Linked DNA regions of Mus musculus. The protein of the gene in region 1 interacts with the protein of each later gene in a pairwise test. Links are inferred from orthologs where the notes say so. Each region holds a gene or a part of one and is shown in the gene's direction. Other genes may lie near its edges.

Region 1 (5,546 bases):
CTATCTATGTATGGCTTGGGGGAAGACCTGTCGTTTTTTTAATGGTAATTGATCAAGAGTAATTAGGAAAAAAGTCTTGTCATGTAGAGGAAAACTTCAAAAAGAAAAACAGATGAAGACATAAATCAAATAGTACCTGTCTCTATCTTCTTGGTCCCCTGGCTAACTAGTCTGTTATCAGCACTGGATGGATCTTTAATTCTCATTCTGATTGGCGGAATGATAGGGCCGTGCATCTTAAATTATGTGGCCGGTTACCTATCAGTGTATCTGTCCAGTAAAATTAATGGTCCTTAGGACCAACTACACTTCTTTCTTTCTTTCTTTCTTTTTTTGAAACAGAGCTTTTCTATGTAGCCCTGGCTGTCCTGGAACTTGCTCTGTAGACCAGTGGTGGCCTTCAATTCACATAAATTCCCTTGCTTCTGCCTCCTGAGTGCTAGGACTGAAGGTATACACCACTGTCTGGCCAATTACACCTCTTCAGAGTAGGGTGAGTCCATGACTTGACTCATTCACTACGAACTGACTCCATGATGGAAGTACCACTGTGGCCATAAAACTCAGCACACAGACAGCACCACCTGCCAACATGAAAACAGAGACGGGGGGGGGGGGGGGGGGGCAGGTGAGATGGCTCAGCGGGTAAGAGCACTGACTGTTCTTCCGAAGGTCCTGAGTTCAAATTCTAGCAACCACATGGTGGCTCACAACCACCCATAATGGAATCTGGCGCCCTCTTCTGGTGTGTCTGAAGACAGCTACAGTGTACTTATAATAATAAATAAATAAAATCTTAAAGAAAGAAAGAGAGAAAGAAAGAAAACAGAGACATAATCCACCAAAGTCCCCAGTTCTGGGAAAGTCTCTAGATGCATTCATCTCGCCTTTTGGCTTCTGTAGTTCTGTTGCTGTTTCTGCTAACTGGAGCATGTCGACCCAGGACGCGAATTTTGCGCTTAAAACCTCGCCCCGAGAAAGGCTTGATACTACACAGGGATCCTGAACACCCAGTGTAGTCACAGGGTGGCTAATAAAGACTTTCTCTTGGTAGATACCCCACAGCAAAGACACCGGACACACAGGTGGTACACAGATACACTTCAAGAGAAACATCTATGTAATAAAATACAAATGAAAATGTAATATTTCAGTTAACAAAAACCCAACAAAAATCCAGGTAATCAGAACAATTAACTCGGTGGTGGATGCCAGCCTAGGTTACATAAAATCTTGCCCCACCTGTCTCCTCTCTCACCCCTAACCCTCCACCCCAATGGTATAAACTGGTAATCCTAACTACTCAGAAGCTAAGGCAATGGAATTAAAAGTTCTTGGCCAGTTGGAGCATTTAAAATAAGACCCTGTTCCAAATAAAAACCAGAAAGGAAGCAAAATGGCTGGGAACATAGGTCAGTTGGGACGCCCTGGACTAGTCACGTTCAACTGTCAATCTTGCAAAACCCAGAAAGTTTCTGTTGTCCAGGCTACGGTGAGGTATGTCTACAATGCCAGGAATCAGGTGGCCAAGGACAGCGCTGGGTTCCAGGTCAGCCAGGGTTACTTACATAGATTCCCTGTTTGTTAATTCATAATGTTCAGTTTACTCCGTAGGGGAGGGGAGCGGGGGGGGGGGGATGGGAGTTGGTTCCCCATGGGGAAGACACGTAGGGACTCCGGAAGTTTTGAAAGGGTGTCAGGTTGTCGTGTGTCATGTCCCATGCTCCACTCCCGTCCCTCTTTCCAGTTTTGCTTCTTGGAACAACAGATGCCTTACAAAGGCCAGGGCATTTATACTTCTAGAACTGAGAACAAGGCCTTACAGAGTTGGCACAAGCTAACGACATTACATGGGATGCTCAAGTTTGATCAGTATACATCTGTGGTACCAAAACATCCTTTGCAAATTTGGGGACATGCTTAGAGTTACACGGTTTATCTGACACTCAAGTTTGGAGGGGGGGAGCGTACTGTTTTTTATCCAGCAACTCCTTCAAGACTTGACTTAACTGATCGGATGGTCTTCTCCCACCTGTACCATGGCGGGAAAACAACTGTACTTGCTTCCAAAGGCATACATAAAGACCCCGGGGCCCGGTGAGCCCTTATTTTATACGTTTGCTCGGGCACAGCCCGGGTGATCCTTGCAATCCCGGCCCTGAGCGGGTCAAACGCTCGCCGCCCGGGTCCTAGGTGGTCCGCACCTGCGCGCCCCGGCCAGCCTCTTCCGGGTCAGGTGACCGCGCACGCCCACGTGACCCGGCCCGAGTGCGGGCGCTGGAAGGCGGAAGTGGAGCGGAGTTAGGCGCCGCTGGTGTGGCCGCGGCAGGTAGGTGGCGCGGGGGCACTGGGGGGCTCGGCAGCGAGCGGGCGGCGCGGGGCAGCCAGGGGGCGGCGGGCGGCGCGAGGGGCCGGGGGCGGCGCGGGGCGGGCGCCGGGGGGCGGCGGCTTCCTGTGGGAGGGGCCTGGCGCGCGGTTCCGGCCTCCGAGGAGGGATGTCCCGGCTCGCGCCCGGGCGGGGTGGGCGCGGGGCCCGGCGGGAGTCGCCCGCTGGTGGCGCTTCCGGAAGGAGACCCCCAGCCCCGGGTGCCTGCGGTGCGGAGGAGCCGTGTCTGTCTGGGAAGGGGGCCCGACCTCAGCCGGGGAAGACTCATTTGCTCCCTGGAAGGGGCTGCCTGGGAGTGGGCGTCTGGCTTGTAGGGACAGGGAGAAAAAAATCTGGACGATGCGGCCTGGACCCCATTCCAAGAGTCTTTTTTCCTTCCGTCCTCTTTAAAAAGGATGGCGATCCGGGACTTTGATACCGGTTCTGTTCAGTTCTTTAAACTTCAGGAGGGATCCCTGAGTCTTGATCGTCTGACTCTGGTCACACCCACTTTGCCCTGTTTGGGTAGGGTTTCCACTTGTTGGGAACCTTGCCCATCAGATCGTCTTTCTTTGAGATGCTCCCGGATCGGGTCATCTTGGAGGCCACCAAAAAAAAAAAAAAAAAAAAAAAAAAAAAGACGTGTAGGTGCTTTGCTGTGATCATAACAAGACTTTTAACCTACACTGTTGTTGGCGACCTGGGCCGGCGTTACCTCAGCAACGCATTGACTGCTGAAGTCATGGACAGTTGAAAGTCTGCCCATACCGATTTGAGACCTCTCAAGCTTAAATTATGCAGCTTCCTTTACCATGTGACTGCTTATCTTGACCAGCTGTGACTAGGTGGGGTGACTGAGAAGTTTCTCTTGTGTTCCTTAGAACTGTGACCTAGATCGTAGTTTTTGAGGTTAAAAATACCCATCTTAAGATTCTTCATCCTCTAGGCCTAGGCCTGAAGATGGCTCCAAGTTCCAAGCCAGCCTAAATAAACAAACAGGCCACCCTCTTTTCCCTTCACTTTTGCTAAGGTTTGCAGAAGTGAAGCAAAGTTTATGAATGCAACGAAGGTCAGGGTTCAAATGGGACATTGACAGGAGCCAGAATCACAGGTCGCTAGGGGGGAAAAAGCACTTTGCATTAATATATTAGGAGTTGAAGACTTGGGGGGTATATTATAAGCATTTAAAAGTTAATTTTTGTAGCAGTCTCGAGAAGTCATTCACACTTTATAGATAACAAGCTAAGAGAATTGACTTAAAATAAAAGATGTATTTTTATTTGTGTGTATGTTCCTGTGTGTATGTGCCCACCAAGGACAGACAGAGCATTGGGTCCTTTGGAGCTAGAGATACAGGTGGTTGTGAGCCTCTGGATTTGCATGCTGGGAACTGACCTTTGGTCCCGTGGAAGAGCAGTGAGTGCTTTCGCCTGCATCTCTTTAGTCTCAGCCTGCCTGACATCCTCATTTTGTTTTTCTTCCTTGTTTACTGTCTTCCTGCTAGGACTGTAAATCATTCAAGGGCAGTGATCTTATTTTACCTGACTTCTTTGGCTACTAGCCCCAGGCCTGGTATGTTAGGAGTACTTGGTCAGTGTTTGAGAAGTAAATGAGTTTTTAAAGGTCACACTGCTCGGTGTATGTGGAGAACAAGGGGTTAGAGCATAAGTTTCCCGTCCCTTTCTCTGTTTAGTGTTACTGGTCTATGGAAAGCCAGAACCATGAGGAGAAGGCTTCAGTTGGCTTGTCAGTCTCTTAATTTTTTGTTGTTGTTGAACATTGCACCTTCCCACTTCCCTTCTTTTTGTAATTTTTTATTTTATTTTTTTCCTTTTGAGACAGGCTCTCAGTAAGTTGCCTGGGGTGGCCTCAAACTCCTGTAGCTCAGGCAGGCCTTGAACTTGTGATCCTTCTGCCTCCAACACAACAGTAGTTAGGATTTGAGGCCAATACCACCAGGTCTATCTTAGTCTTTCATTTAGTGACTACATCCCCATCTGCAAAGAACTGATACCAGATTCTCATTTATTTTTATTTTGGTTATTTATTTGAGACAAAAGTTTTACTGTGTAGACCTGGCTGGCCTAGAACTCATAAAGATCCAGCTGTTTCTACCTCCCAAGTGCTGGGATTAAAGCTGTGCGCTATTTACTATGCTCAACCTCTCTCCCTGTCCGGTCCAGCCAGTCCCCTCCCCTCCCTTCTCCCCCCTCCCCTCCCTTTCTCTCTGAGACAGGGTCTTTTAGCTTTTTGATAGAAGGTAGGTTTTAGCCCAGGCTGGCCTCAAACTGGTTATGTTGTGGAGGAACTTACGATAGATTCTCTACCTTCCAAGACCTGGGGTCGCAGGCCTTCATTCACCATTGTGCCTGGCTCAGCGTCTCGTCTCATTCATTTCCAGATCTCTGAAGGTTGCATTGCTTCATTCACAGATGAAGAACTGAGGCTTACTGAAGTCCTGATATTAGATTCTGGAACTAGTAAATAAATGCAAGAGTTGGCTCTCTCCTTCTATGGGTCCTGGGAACTGAGTTCCAGTTGTCAGGCTTGCTGGCAGTCACCTTTACCCAATGAGCCACTTTCTCTATAACCTAGGTCTGTTCTTCTTAGACCTATTACTTTTAATTCATAGAAGCGATAAAAAGTTTCTTTTTTTTTTTTTTTTTTTTTTTTAAAGTACAACTTCCATTTTATTTTTCCAGGGTAGTTTTCCTTCTGTCCTTACAAAACGGCCTCTTTACATGGGCTTTGGTGGAGGTCGAGGTGCAGCGCCAGCAGGTCTGAATCGTGGTGGGGGTGTTCGGTCCTTCCGGGCTTCGCGGGATCGATTCCTAACAACCTTGCTATGGATGGCACAGCTCACGCAATAATGCAGCTTGACATAGAGCTTGGGAAGCACGTAGGCGTCGAAGACGCTTGCTTCAGATATGTCCCTGACAGCAGCGGCTTCTACAATGTTCCGAATGACAAACTTCTTGATGGCCTTATCCTTGGGCACGCACCGGGCGCAGTTCGTGCAGCGAATGGGCTGCACATGGCCGCGGCCCTTTTTGGCACGACCGTTGTTTCTTCTTTTTTTGGTCATCTTGGAGCCAAGACTCGAAAGAGAAAAAAAGTTTCATCTTAAAATATTTTTAAAAATATGCTATTAGGTTGGGTATAAGTGCCTGTAATCCAAACA
Region 2 (4,971 bases), on another chromosome or scaffold:
GGAGCGGTCTGCTGACATTGCAGAACATGGGGCAAGGATGGAGTGATTCTGACCCTTTCAGAAACTGAGAGGAGCAGCGCAGATGCTGAAGAGGGTTGGCGAGAAAGCACGTGTTCCCTGTGGGTAGTCTCTGGGTTTTAAACCCTCTCCCCTACCAGCTGATTCTTCTCCATTACTACTCATAGAGGATCCCAGAGAAAACAACTTTCAAGCCAATAAGAATCCTGTTCATCCCTGTCTTAGTCAGAGTTCTATTGAATCAAAGAGACACCACGGCCATGGCAACTCTTATAATGGAAGGCATTTAACTGAGGCTGGCTTAGAGTTTAGTCCATTGTCATCATGGTGGGAAGCATGATGGCAGGCAGGCAGACATGGTGCTCGAGAAGGAGCTGAGAGTTCCATATCTGAATCTGCAAGTATCAGGAAGGGAGAAAGCTACTGGGCCTCGAAACCTTAAAGCCCACCCCCAGTGACACACCCACTCTATCCCTCCCAAGTAGTGCCACTCCTGATGACTAAGCATTCAGGCATATAAGCCTATGGCAGGCATTCCTCGTTCAACCACCACAGTCTCCATAAGCTTATATATGCCTAGGTGATGTGTGATAAGAAGTAACTTACATGGACTTTCCTTTGGTGCTGTCCATTGAAATGCAGCATCAGTGGTCATCATAATGACATAATGACATCGTAGGAGTCATTCATTTTGTGATCATGCTATGGAAAATGCCATGTTCAATTTCTGGGTTTCCTTCTGGAAGAGATTTTGTGGTAGTTTAGCATCTAAGATGAGAGCCCACTCTCCTGACCTTTTCATCCTTGGAAATCTGATGCTTACCTCCGTGGATGCAAAGATAGCCATGGGTTATTGTGAATGCCACACCTCTGTGGGTGCAAAGATAGCCATGGGTTGGGAATGTCAGGGAGCAGGCAGGCAAGCAGAACTAGCAATAGGCAAGGGATTCAGCTATTCTCTTTCTTTGCTGAAGGGGCAAAGGCAGGGTTTAGAAATGCTAGAAAGATGACTCATGGGTGTTGATTAAAGACTGAAGCCTCACCATATCTGGAGAAAGTTGGCCTCTCTGATTCAGACAGCTGTGATGTTCATTGGTCAGGACTCTCCCACTAAATCTAGGAAGGGTCTAGTCCTTTGGAGTCACTCAGCAGTGGGAGTTTTTAAACAGCATGAGCTAGGTAGGAGAGTTGGAACGAAATCCATGCCTGAGTCCTTGTTCTATGGAGAATATCTACTTAGGGCAGCTTTGACAGGAACCCTCTAGACCAGGGAGAGTGTTTTCATGGGACTTCTTTGTGCACTGGATGCTTGACACTTTACACAGCCACTCTGGGGAACATCCAAAGTCATGTGCCAGTATAAAACCTCGCCTCTATCCTTTCAGGGGAGCATAAATGGGCACAAGAAATAAGATGAGTTTTAAATCCAGTTTCTGCCTCTCCCCTTCAGTCGCTTAGATGCATCTGGCCTTGGGTCTGTCTTTTTATCTGTAAGCTTCCCTCTTTTCTTTTCTTCATATTCTAAGAAGAGAATTTTATTTTATTTTTTTTTAAAGAAGAGACATTGCTATGGGTCATCTAGTACCTACTGAGCACAGGGTTCTCTGTTTTGTTTTACCTTTTGCTTTTTTAATTACTTTAAAATTTCAGTTCTGTGTTTTCTAATGTCTTTTCTTCTTTTTATTATATGCGATAAATACTGGCAGGGAATCTTGTGAGTTTGGTTTTCCTTTTAATTTTTCTGTCAAGGGTCCTACAACCACAGTTAAAACAACAACAACAACAACACAACAACAACAACAACAACAACAATGTGTGTGTGTGTGTGTGTTGTCTCTGGAAACACTATGGCCATCAGACTGTAGATCCTCATGAGCCAAAAAAGAAGTCCTGTTCAATATGACTCAGTAGCCAGTGTTGGTTCAAGTTTAGTTTAAGTTTTTTGGTTTAAGTTTAGCACAATATAGAAAAGTTTTCTGGTGTAACATAATTCTGTGTATACAATAAAGCTTAAGGGATTGAATTGCATTGAAACTCTTAACGTATGTGCCACTTCTTCCATAAAGATGGGTTCTTTTGTTAAAGTTTATTTATGTAGTCTATGCATGTAAGTGCTCTATCTGCGTGTCTGCCTACATGGTAGAAGAGGGCATTGGATTTCATTGTAGATGATTCTGGGATACCATGTGATTACTGGAAATTGAACTCAGAACCTCTGAAAGAACAGGCAGTGCTCTTAACCCATGAGTCATCTCTTTAGCCCTGGAAACTGGGATTTATAGACAGACTACATATGTTATCTTAAGGACTTGGAGGAGGATCAGGTGTGGTCATACAGATAGTGCAGAAGGCATCCAGGCTACTAACCAAATTCATTTCTAGCCTTCTCGGTGGGAAAAACGGGTTCTGCATCAGTTCCTTTGAAGAGACAACCTTTCATGTTTAAAATGTCTGGTTTTCTGGTGCTTATCTGTAAGCACTGGGACATCAAACCCTCTCTAACAACAACAAAAACTATTACTTAAGAAGTACTTGAAAAGGGAAAGCATCTAACGTTGGTTGGGAGAAAGGCAATTTGGAAAGGAGGAGTATAATTGAGTAGTTCTGTGCTAAGGCAGAGACATCATATACTTATGTTGCTGAGTGTGGCAGATGGTACAGTCTCAGGAACCCCACATATCCCGTGGTGGAGCAACAGAAGTGGGTGTGTGTGAAGAACAGAGTAGAAATAGCTGACATCAGCAGGAATGGTTGAGGGAGGAAGAGGAGCCCCAGGAGAAGTTAGCTTTAACCAGGAAAACAGCAGCTGGTTCTTCAGTCCCAGTCACATGACAGAGTAACTGTCAAGTCAGCCTCTCTGCATCTTGGTAATAGCGAGACTCTTTTAAAGTTTCTCTGCTGAAACTATCGGTTAGCTATAGCTTTGTTGTTGGGAGTGAGGTATCAATATTCCAAATGGACGCAGATCTTTTTTGTCAACTCAGCCAGGTTTGTCACATCAAGTTCAGAGAAAAATAGAATGTTAACCCACCTCTTTCTTTGTTCTTACTAGGACTCTTGTTTCTGAATTTTATCCAGTGCCACCCACCTGGCCCAGTGCATCATTAGTCAGGGAGTGACCTGAGGAGCATGTGCGAGTCACTCTATGATCCTTTCTGCTAGCTCCTGTTTTGTCTTGGAGCTGGGGGCAATGCTCACCTTTTGTTTGAAATTAATTTCCCCTTTTAAAAAAAGTTATCCAACAGTGAATTTCTCTCACGAATCAGACGTGAAGGAAACCGAGGCAAGAAGCTTTTTCTGTGAACGACTGCAGGAGGGCACCAAGATTCTCCTTACCCTTAGTTGCCTTGGCTGTTGTTAGCGATATGCTTCAGTGGTATTTTGTATATCCACCTCATTGTGCAACCATCACCTCTAACTCTCTGCAAAGCATTATCCTCTCCCGTAAGCAACTGCCAAGTCCATAAACACTAAGCAACCCCTCCCTAGCCCCTCCCTCAGAGCCTGGCAGCCACCCATGCTCTCCATCCCCATGGACACTGCTGTACTAAAAGGAAAAAAGGGCATTACGTTTTATACACTGTCATTTCTAAAGGACCCCCTGGGTATTTGCCTAAGGATAGCTTGAATAGTTATTCCTCTTTGGCTGAGCTTCTGTGAGTGTCTTTCCTCTAGGTCCAGGCCACTCCCAATTTAAAGGCAAAGGCAGAGGGTCCAGGGTCTGCTGCTGTAGGAGGGCCAGTGTACAGAGCGCACCTCCTGACACCCGGTGCTTTTTCTAGGATGGTTGGTTCTGATGTCATCCCACTGCCCCATATCTATGGAGCACGCATCAAGGGTGTGGAAGTGTTCTGTCCTCTGGACCCCCCACCTCCATACGAAGCTGTAGTGAGCCAGACTGACCAGGAGCAGGTATGCCTACTCCCCAGAGTATATGCTCTAACATAACCTGAAGGGGTTTACGGGGGTCCTCTGAGGATCAAAAACCAAAAACAATGACCCCTCCTTCTCCCTTCCTTTCTGATGCAGGAGTCTTCATTCCAAATGCCAGAAGGACCAGAAACTGCTGCGAGCCCAGCAGAGCCAGTTTGCACGCAGATAACTCAAGGTAACACACACCTTCCCTACGCCAGGCCATAGGTCAATAGAGGAGAACATGGCAGAATGATCTGACTAGTGTTTTGCTGGAGGTAAGGTATTCAAACTCTTAGGGCTTAGAAGTGAGATCTAAAATGTTAACAGGAAAAAAGAAAAAAACACACTGAAATAAAGAGACCTACTTCAAACTTTTTCATGAATGATCAGACTATCCCCAGGAACCCATGGGCTAGAGTGCAGGTTAACTCGTTATTCCCCTGGCTCCCAATCCATTTCCTTGATCTGTTGAAATGAGCAGGATTCCTTCGAACGAACGTGAGTTTCCCAGTGAGTATTCACATTGTCATTTGTAACCAAAGGTTTTAATGCTAGAATTAAGATTTTTTTTTTCAGCCCTGTGGTCCATGCTAGAGTCATTTTACATTTATCCTTGTAATTTAAGGACACTGTTGTTCCCGCTTTCTGTCTTTGGGGAGGTTTTAAATGGCCTAGAGAATTGTCCACTGGTACAAAATTGCAGCTGGCACTAAATAATGGATCGACTTTCCGCCATGTCGGATGGGGGTAGCTTTTCAGCAGTGCTATGTGGGCCATTCTTGAATTCACTTTACATTTGGAAGGGGACAGACTGTGAGCCCCGCCACTGAGCTCCAAGCCCCACCTACCCTAAAAAGGATTATAAAACATTGTTCTCTTCCCTTAAGCACATTTGTTTTTCCACGAGGAATTTTCCAATCAGAAACTCGGCTTTCCAGACGCTGCTGCTACGTTTCCTGGCCAGGGCTCGTCCTATTCCAGTGTCATTTGCAGATTTATTTTGCAGCCACTGAAAGTGTCCCAATGTGGGCACCCCCT
Region 3 (4,971 bases), on another chromosome or scaffold:
GATAGCAGAGGTAGCCTTGCTAGGATGTGGCCTGGAACTCCAATCCATCATATGTCCTCCCAGTATGTATGTATCAGTGGATGCTGAAAAGGAGCTGAACAGCATGGCGTTGTTCCTGCTGTGCATTTGAATGGTGTCCATGAATGTGAGCTAATTCTAATAAACGTTGTTCCAGAAAACCGTGGAAGTTAAATTACCATTCTTTAATGACTGGCCAGCAATTAAAATGACTGTAAAACAGCTCCGAGAGGAACCTTTCTCAACACAACCTCATTGTATCCATTCAGTTCTCTCGCTGTATCCAGAGCGAGGGAAGTCTGGTGTTCTTTGTGGGGTGTGCATTGCTCAGAGAGTAAGCCATGGCCAGCATGTTAAGGATAGCCATCCTCACCTTATCTCCTGAGTGGATCCCTTGACAGCTGTAAGGCCTTGCAAAGGTTCTCCTCAGGACACCAGGGGACATGCTTTATCATAGAGGAGGAGTTTACCATCCACCCCATGAGATCTGCTTCCCAGCATCCGTTTTGGGGCCCCACCTCCTAAAGGAGCACATTCAGTTATGCACAGGGCACACACACCCTGGTACTCGCCCTCAGCCCCATGAGGCAGAGACGGCATTGGGGTTACAGGACACTTCCTGCCTACTGCGGGGTAGCTGGGGCAGGTAAGGCTCAGCAGCCCTAATGAGGGACCTGAAGATCTCTGGGTCCTCACCCAGCAGGAAGAGAAGGGACAGCAACTGCACCTGCTGCAGCACTCTTAAGACCCTGCAAGGGCAAGGCTGCAGTTTGAGGATCACCACCACCACAGAGCTCCCGTGCTGGTAAAGAGGGACCACCCAGGCTATGCTCACTCTTCTGCTTTGGTGTTCTATGTTCAGCCGCCACTAACCAATGAGAACTGTAGGTGGAATATGGAACTTAGACTTCACTGATCTACAAGAGTGGTCACCACTCTGTTTCTCTCTCTCTCTCTCTCTCTCTCTCTCTCTCTCTCTCTCTCTCTCTCTCTCTCTCTTCCTCTCATCCCTATTCTCTTCTCCTTTTTTAGAAAGAGCTGGAGATGGGCTAGACACAGGATGGTTATATGGAAGTAGAGTGGACTGACAGCAGGCGGGGACACTTACCAGCCCTCTACAGGGAGATAAGAAAGGACAGTGAGCTTAAAAAATTCCGAAAACAGAAAGGGGAAGGCAAAGATGGAAGTGTATGGATAAAAAGAAAGGGGGGATACAGGGTTTCCCTGAGCCACCTGGGCCATCTTGAACTGGAAGCCAGGACAGTCCATTAGCAGCCGTGAGAAATAACTGACTTGTCCACAAACTTCGCTTGGGAGAGAGAACCTGCCATGTTGATTTATGTAAAAAAAAAAAAAATCTCTGTCATTTTCTTTTTCAGTTATTAATGGTCACACACTGTGTTTGAGGCTACTACTTGAAACAGCAGACAATCCGGAAGTGGTTGATGTGAAAGATGCCAAGGGACAGTAAGTGTTTTCATGTTGGCCTTCTGCTATGATCAGTCACAGGAGCAGCTTGGTTGGCTTGTTGAGTAGTGGATAGGGATGAGTGCTGAGTTCTAGGATAGCACCTCTCTGTGAAACTCATGGGTCAGGAGCCTAGAACCCCGAGGTGTGGCCCGCCACCAGAGCCTGTACTAAAGGGAAGAAAGCACTCAGTGTGCGCGTCTTATTGACAGTGAGCGCCTTTTTATCCCTGCTCTAGCCATGCTTCCCAGTCGTTAGTATTTCCTCTTTCTTCCTACCTCTGACATTTGTTTTTGTTTTTGTTTCTGTTTTTGTTTTTCAAGACAGGGTTTCTCTGTGTAGCCCTGGCTGGCCTGGCACTCACTCTGTAGACCAGGCTGGCCTCGAACTCAGAAATCTGCCTGCCTCTGCCTCCTGAGTGCTGAGATTAAAGGCATGCGTCACCACACCCGGCTCTACCTTTGACATTTAAAGCTACCTACCACTTACCCACTTTCTAATAATAGCAAAATGGCAGACCTGGAGAGTTGGTTTCTGTCCTGGAAATAATAAAGAATTCCTTCAGATTTATATCTTCTCTTGAGTTTGTTTTCAGTTTCTATCTGTTGGCCTAGTCTTCGCCCGGGCTTTTCTTACAAATAGGAAGTGCAGACAGAAAGGCTCTAGGTCTGTCCCCAGGCACAGGAGCTTGAGTGACAGCTAGAGCAGGGCCCTGGTCTTTCTTCTACACTGGCCAGACTTGGCTTCAAAGCATGGAAGCTCTGTCCATCCAGGCAGATCTTGAGCAGAGACCAACATTGATTGCTAGGACAGCAGAGGCTGTGACAGAGGCAAGAGGCTCTTCTGCGTGTGCACACGCCCCAGCCGAGCCCCAGCCGGCTGGCATGGAGTGGTCGCCACATGGCCTTTGAAAATGTTAGAAGTAATGTGACTGCCCTATATGTTAGCCAACATTCCATGTGGCTTGTTCTACATGACATGGAGTAGCGAGTTAGAAACATAGGAAATACTGGGAAATTTTTGATAGAAAGAGACCTCTTCTCTCACTGGAATTAGTTTTGTTTTTGTTTTGTTTTGTTTTGTTTTGTTTTAAATCTCCTTTTAAAATACCAATTTCTCTCTCCTAGAACCCCGCTGATGCTTGCAGTAGCATATGGACACATTGATGCTGTTTCATTGTTACTTGAAAAGGAAGCAAACGTAGATGCGGTCGACATAGTGGGATGCACGGCTTTACATAGAGGGGTATGTCCATCTTCCTCTGCTTCAGTTAGGTTACCTCCTCAATGAGCTTGCTTCAGTGTTCTCTGTGTGAAGCTTTAGGGGAAAAGATGTTTCATAATATATCCAATTAGCTTCACAGTCAAAACAAAATTACAGAATTTTATACAATGACACAAATGAAAGCTACAGTTTGGCCCTGCTCTTAGGAGTTTGTGTTGGACTGTGATACCTACTGTTGGAGGGGTTCGCTCTCCTTTCTGATTACAAAATGCAAAGTGTAGAAAATTTGCAAAGTGAATTTTTTACATACAGAAAAAGAAAATCAAAATCACCAGCAATCATACTTCCTGGAGATAATCACATTTAATACACATATGCACGAGCATGCGCAGACACACACCGTGGCCTCTCTTTTTCTTAGTATAGATAAAGGACCGTTCTCCGTGGCGTAAAATATTCTTCTGTATAATTTTGTATGCAGAATTTATAATACTCATGTGTGCAGCTGCCAGAATGAATTCAGTGGTGTTGAACATTCACACTATATCTGTTGCTTGGAGCAGCAAACGATGACAATCTATGTGTCCTGTGGCCAAGTCTTTTTACACATCTGCTGATTTAATTTTTGAAGGACAAAAAAAAATAGGCTAACTAGACAAAGGTAAAAATTATAAAATTGCTATGTAGAAGTGATGTAAGCACCCTAGCTGGTGACTAAAAGTATTTTCCATGATTATCAACATAATCACAGTTCTGGTTTCTTTGCACTTCTTTTGGGCCATGCAGCAGTCTAGGGGACATCACATATATATGTCTGTCAGTGATAGCCTGTGCATACAGCAGTGATCTCATACGGTTAGAATGGAGCTGAAGACGATTCCTTTCTTGTGTAACTTTTACTGCACCTTTGCTGTTTAGATACACAAACCCTTGTGACCCCATGATGTCCATTAGGGTAATGTGTTGTGCATGTTAGCTTAGGCTTAACAGCTCTCTTGGGCAGCCTAAGAGGGGAATAGGCTGTGCTTTCTAGCATTGTGTACAGACTCTCTGAGATATTCCCAGAATGCATCCCCGTGCCCGCTGCACAATGTAAGTGTGTTGTCTCTTTAGTACTGGGCAACCTCTGAGGTCATTGTTTCTCTGCCTTCTCATAGTGAGTATACTGAGTCAGAGAAAGGCCGACTCACTTGTGTCTGACAGGGGTGGACAACCAGGATTTAACATATTCCTCCTTGATTCTGAAGCTAGTATTTTCTAAGGTATCATGATACCATCCGTAGTTATGTTTGGAGAGAGAGCTCCAAAATACTTCTCCTGGGCTTTTCTGGTAAGGATTTTTGCTAGGGTTGTTCTGCCTCCTACCTCTTAGGCCAGGTGGGGGAAGCCTTCTACTCTCAACAATTCTATCCCCAGACAACTGAGCTTTGTCTTGCATTTTAATTGCAACATGCCAGATTATGACAGGACATGAGGAATGTGTGCAAATGCTGCTGGAACAAGAAGCATCAATCCTCTGTAAAGATTCCAGAGGGAGGACACCCTTGCACTATGCGGCTGCTCGGGGCCACGCCACATGGCTGAATGAATTGCTCCAGATTGCCCTTTCTGAAGAAGACTGCTGTCTCAAAGACAACCAGGGATACACGCCACTGCACTGGGCGTGTTACAATGGTGAGTCGAATGTCATCTGAGTCGAATGTCATCTGAGTAGAATGTCATATACTAGACTTTCTAGCCTCGCACCTCTGTGACCTCAGTGGAGGTGAGAACACTGCTGTATGCTGTGGTTACTGGTGTCTGCACCCAGACACTGGTGTCTGTCTTATGTTGTTTTAAACATCCCTCATCCCCACCCCTGTGGCTGTCATGATGCTGAGTAAGGTTTAGTTTGTTTCCCTCTTCCTGTGACACCTCATCAGAGTCGCCAATGGACTTGAGCAACTGTAATCAGAGTTTCTGATCTGCACCAGATAACCAGGAACCACATGAAGTATTAAAACAATGACGGTAAAAACAAAACAGCATACAGTATAGTTCACATACAGTAGAGTCACTCATAAACGCTAGTAGATGTGTAGTTTAGATTTTGGTATTTTTTTTTAATATCCACATTCCACATTTGCTTTGTTGTGTGTGCTACTTGGAATATTCAAATTTTTTATCTCAGTTATTTGGAACAAAAGAGAAATGTGTGCTAATTGTATGCATGTCTCATAATTTTTCCTCTGAGATTATAAATAAAAAATATGCATATTCTTT

What was found. The genes of interacting proteins can lie anywhere in the genome.
Region 2: the proteins of Wwp2 (region 1) and Fam189a2 interact in binary tests that used the Homo sapiens proteins (3 or more experiments, as listed by UniProt). The link is inferred for Mus musculus from reciprocal best matches to the Homo sapiens genes WWP2 and ENTREP1.
Region 3: the proteins of Wwp2 (region 1) and Ankrd44 interact in binary tests that used the Homo sapiens proteins (3 or more experiments, as listed by UniProt). The two-hybrid records come from large-scale screens. The link is inferred for Mus musculus from reciprocal best matches to the Homo sapiens genes WWP2 and ANKRD44.

What each region holds. Positions count from the first base shown.
Region 1 is NC_000074.6:107,434,113-107,439,658, forward strand, and holds the start of Wwp2 (NEDD4-like E3 ubiquitin-protein ligase WWP2), read left to right. Parts: upstream 1-2,257; 5' UTR 2,258-2,329; intron 2,330-5,037; exon of another isoform or gene 5,038-5,473; intron 5,474-5,546. UniProt on the Homo sapiens protein: E3 ubiquitin-protein ligase which accepts ubiquitin from an E2 ubiquitin-conjugating enzyme in the form of a thioester and then directly transfers the ubiquitin to targeted substrates.
Region 2 is NC_000085.6:23,978,545-23,983,515, reverse strand, and holds part of Fam189a2 (protein FAM189A2), read left to right. Parts: intron 1-3,800; coding exon 3,801-3,930; intron 3,931-4,047; coding exon 4,048-4,126; intron 4,127-4,971. UniProt on the Homo sapiens protein: Functions as an activator of the E3 ubiquitin protein ligase ITCH in the ubiquitination of the CXCL12-activated CXCR4 receptor. Thereby, triggers CXCR4 endocytosis and desensitization, negatively regulating the CXCL12/CXCR4 signaling pathway.
Region 3 is NC_000067.6:54,660,413-54,665,383, reverse strand, and holds part of Ankrd44 (serine/threonine-protein phosphatase 6 regulatory ankyrin repeat subunit B), read left to right. Parts: intron 1-1,397; coding exon 1,398-1,485; intron 1,486-2,612; coding exon 2,613-2,730; intron 2,731-4,166; coding exon 4,167-4,383; intron 4,384-4,971. UniProt on the Homo sapiens protein: Putative regulatory subunit of protein phosphatase 6 (PP6) that may be involved in the recognition of phosphoprotein substrates.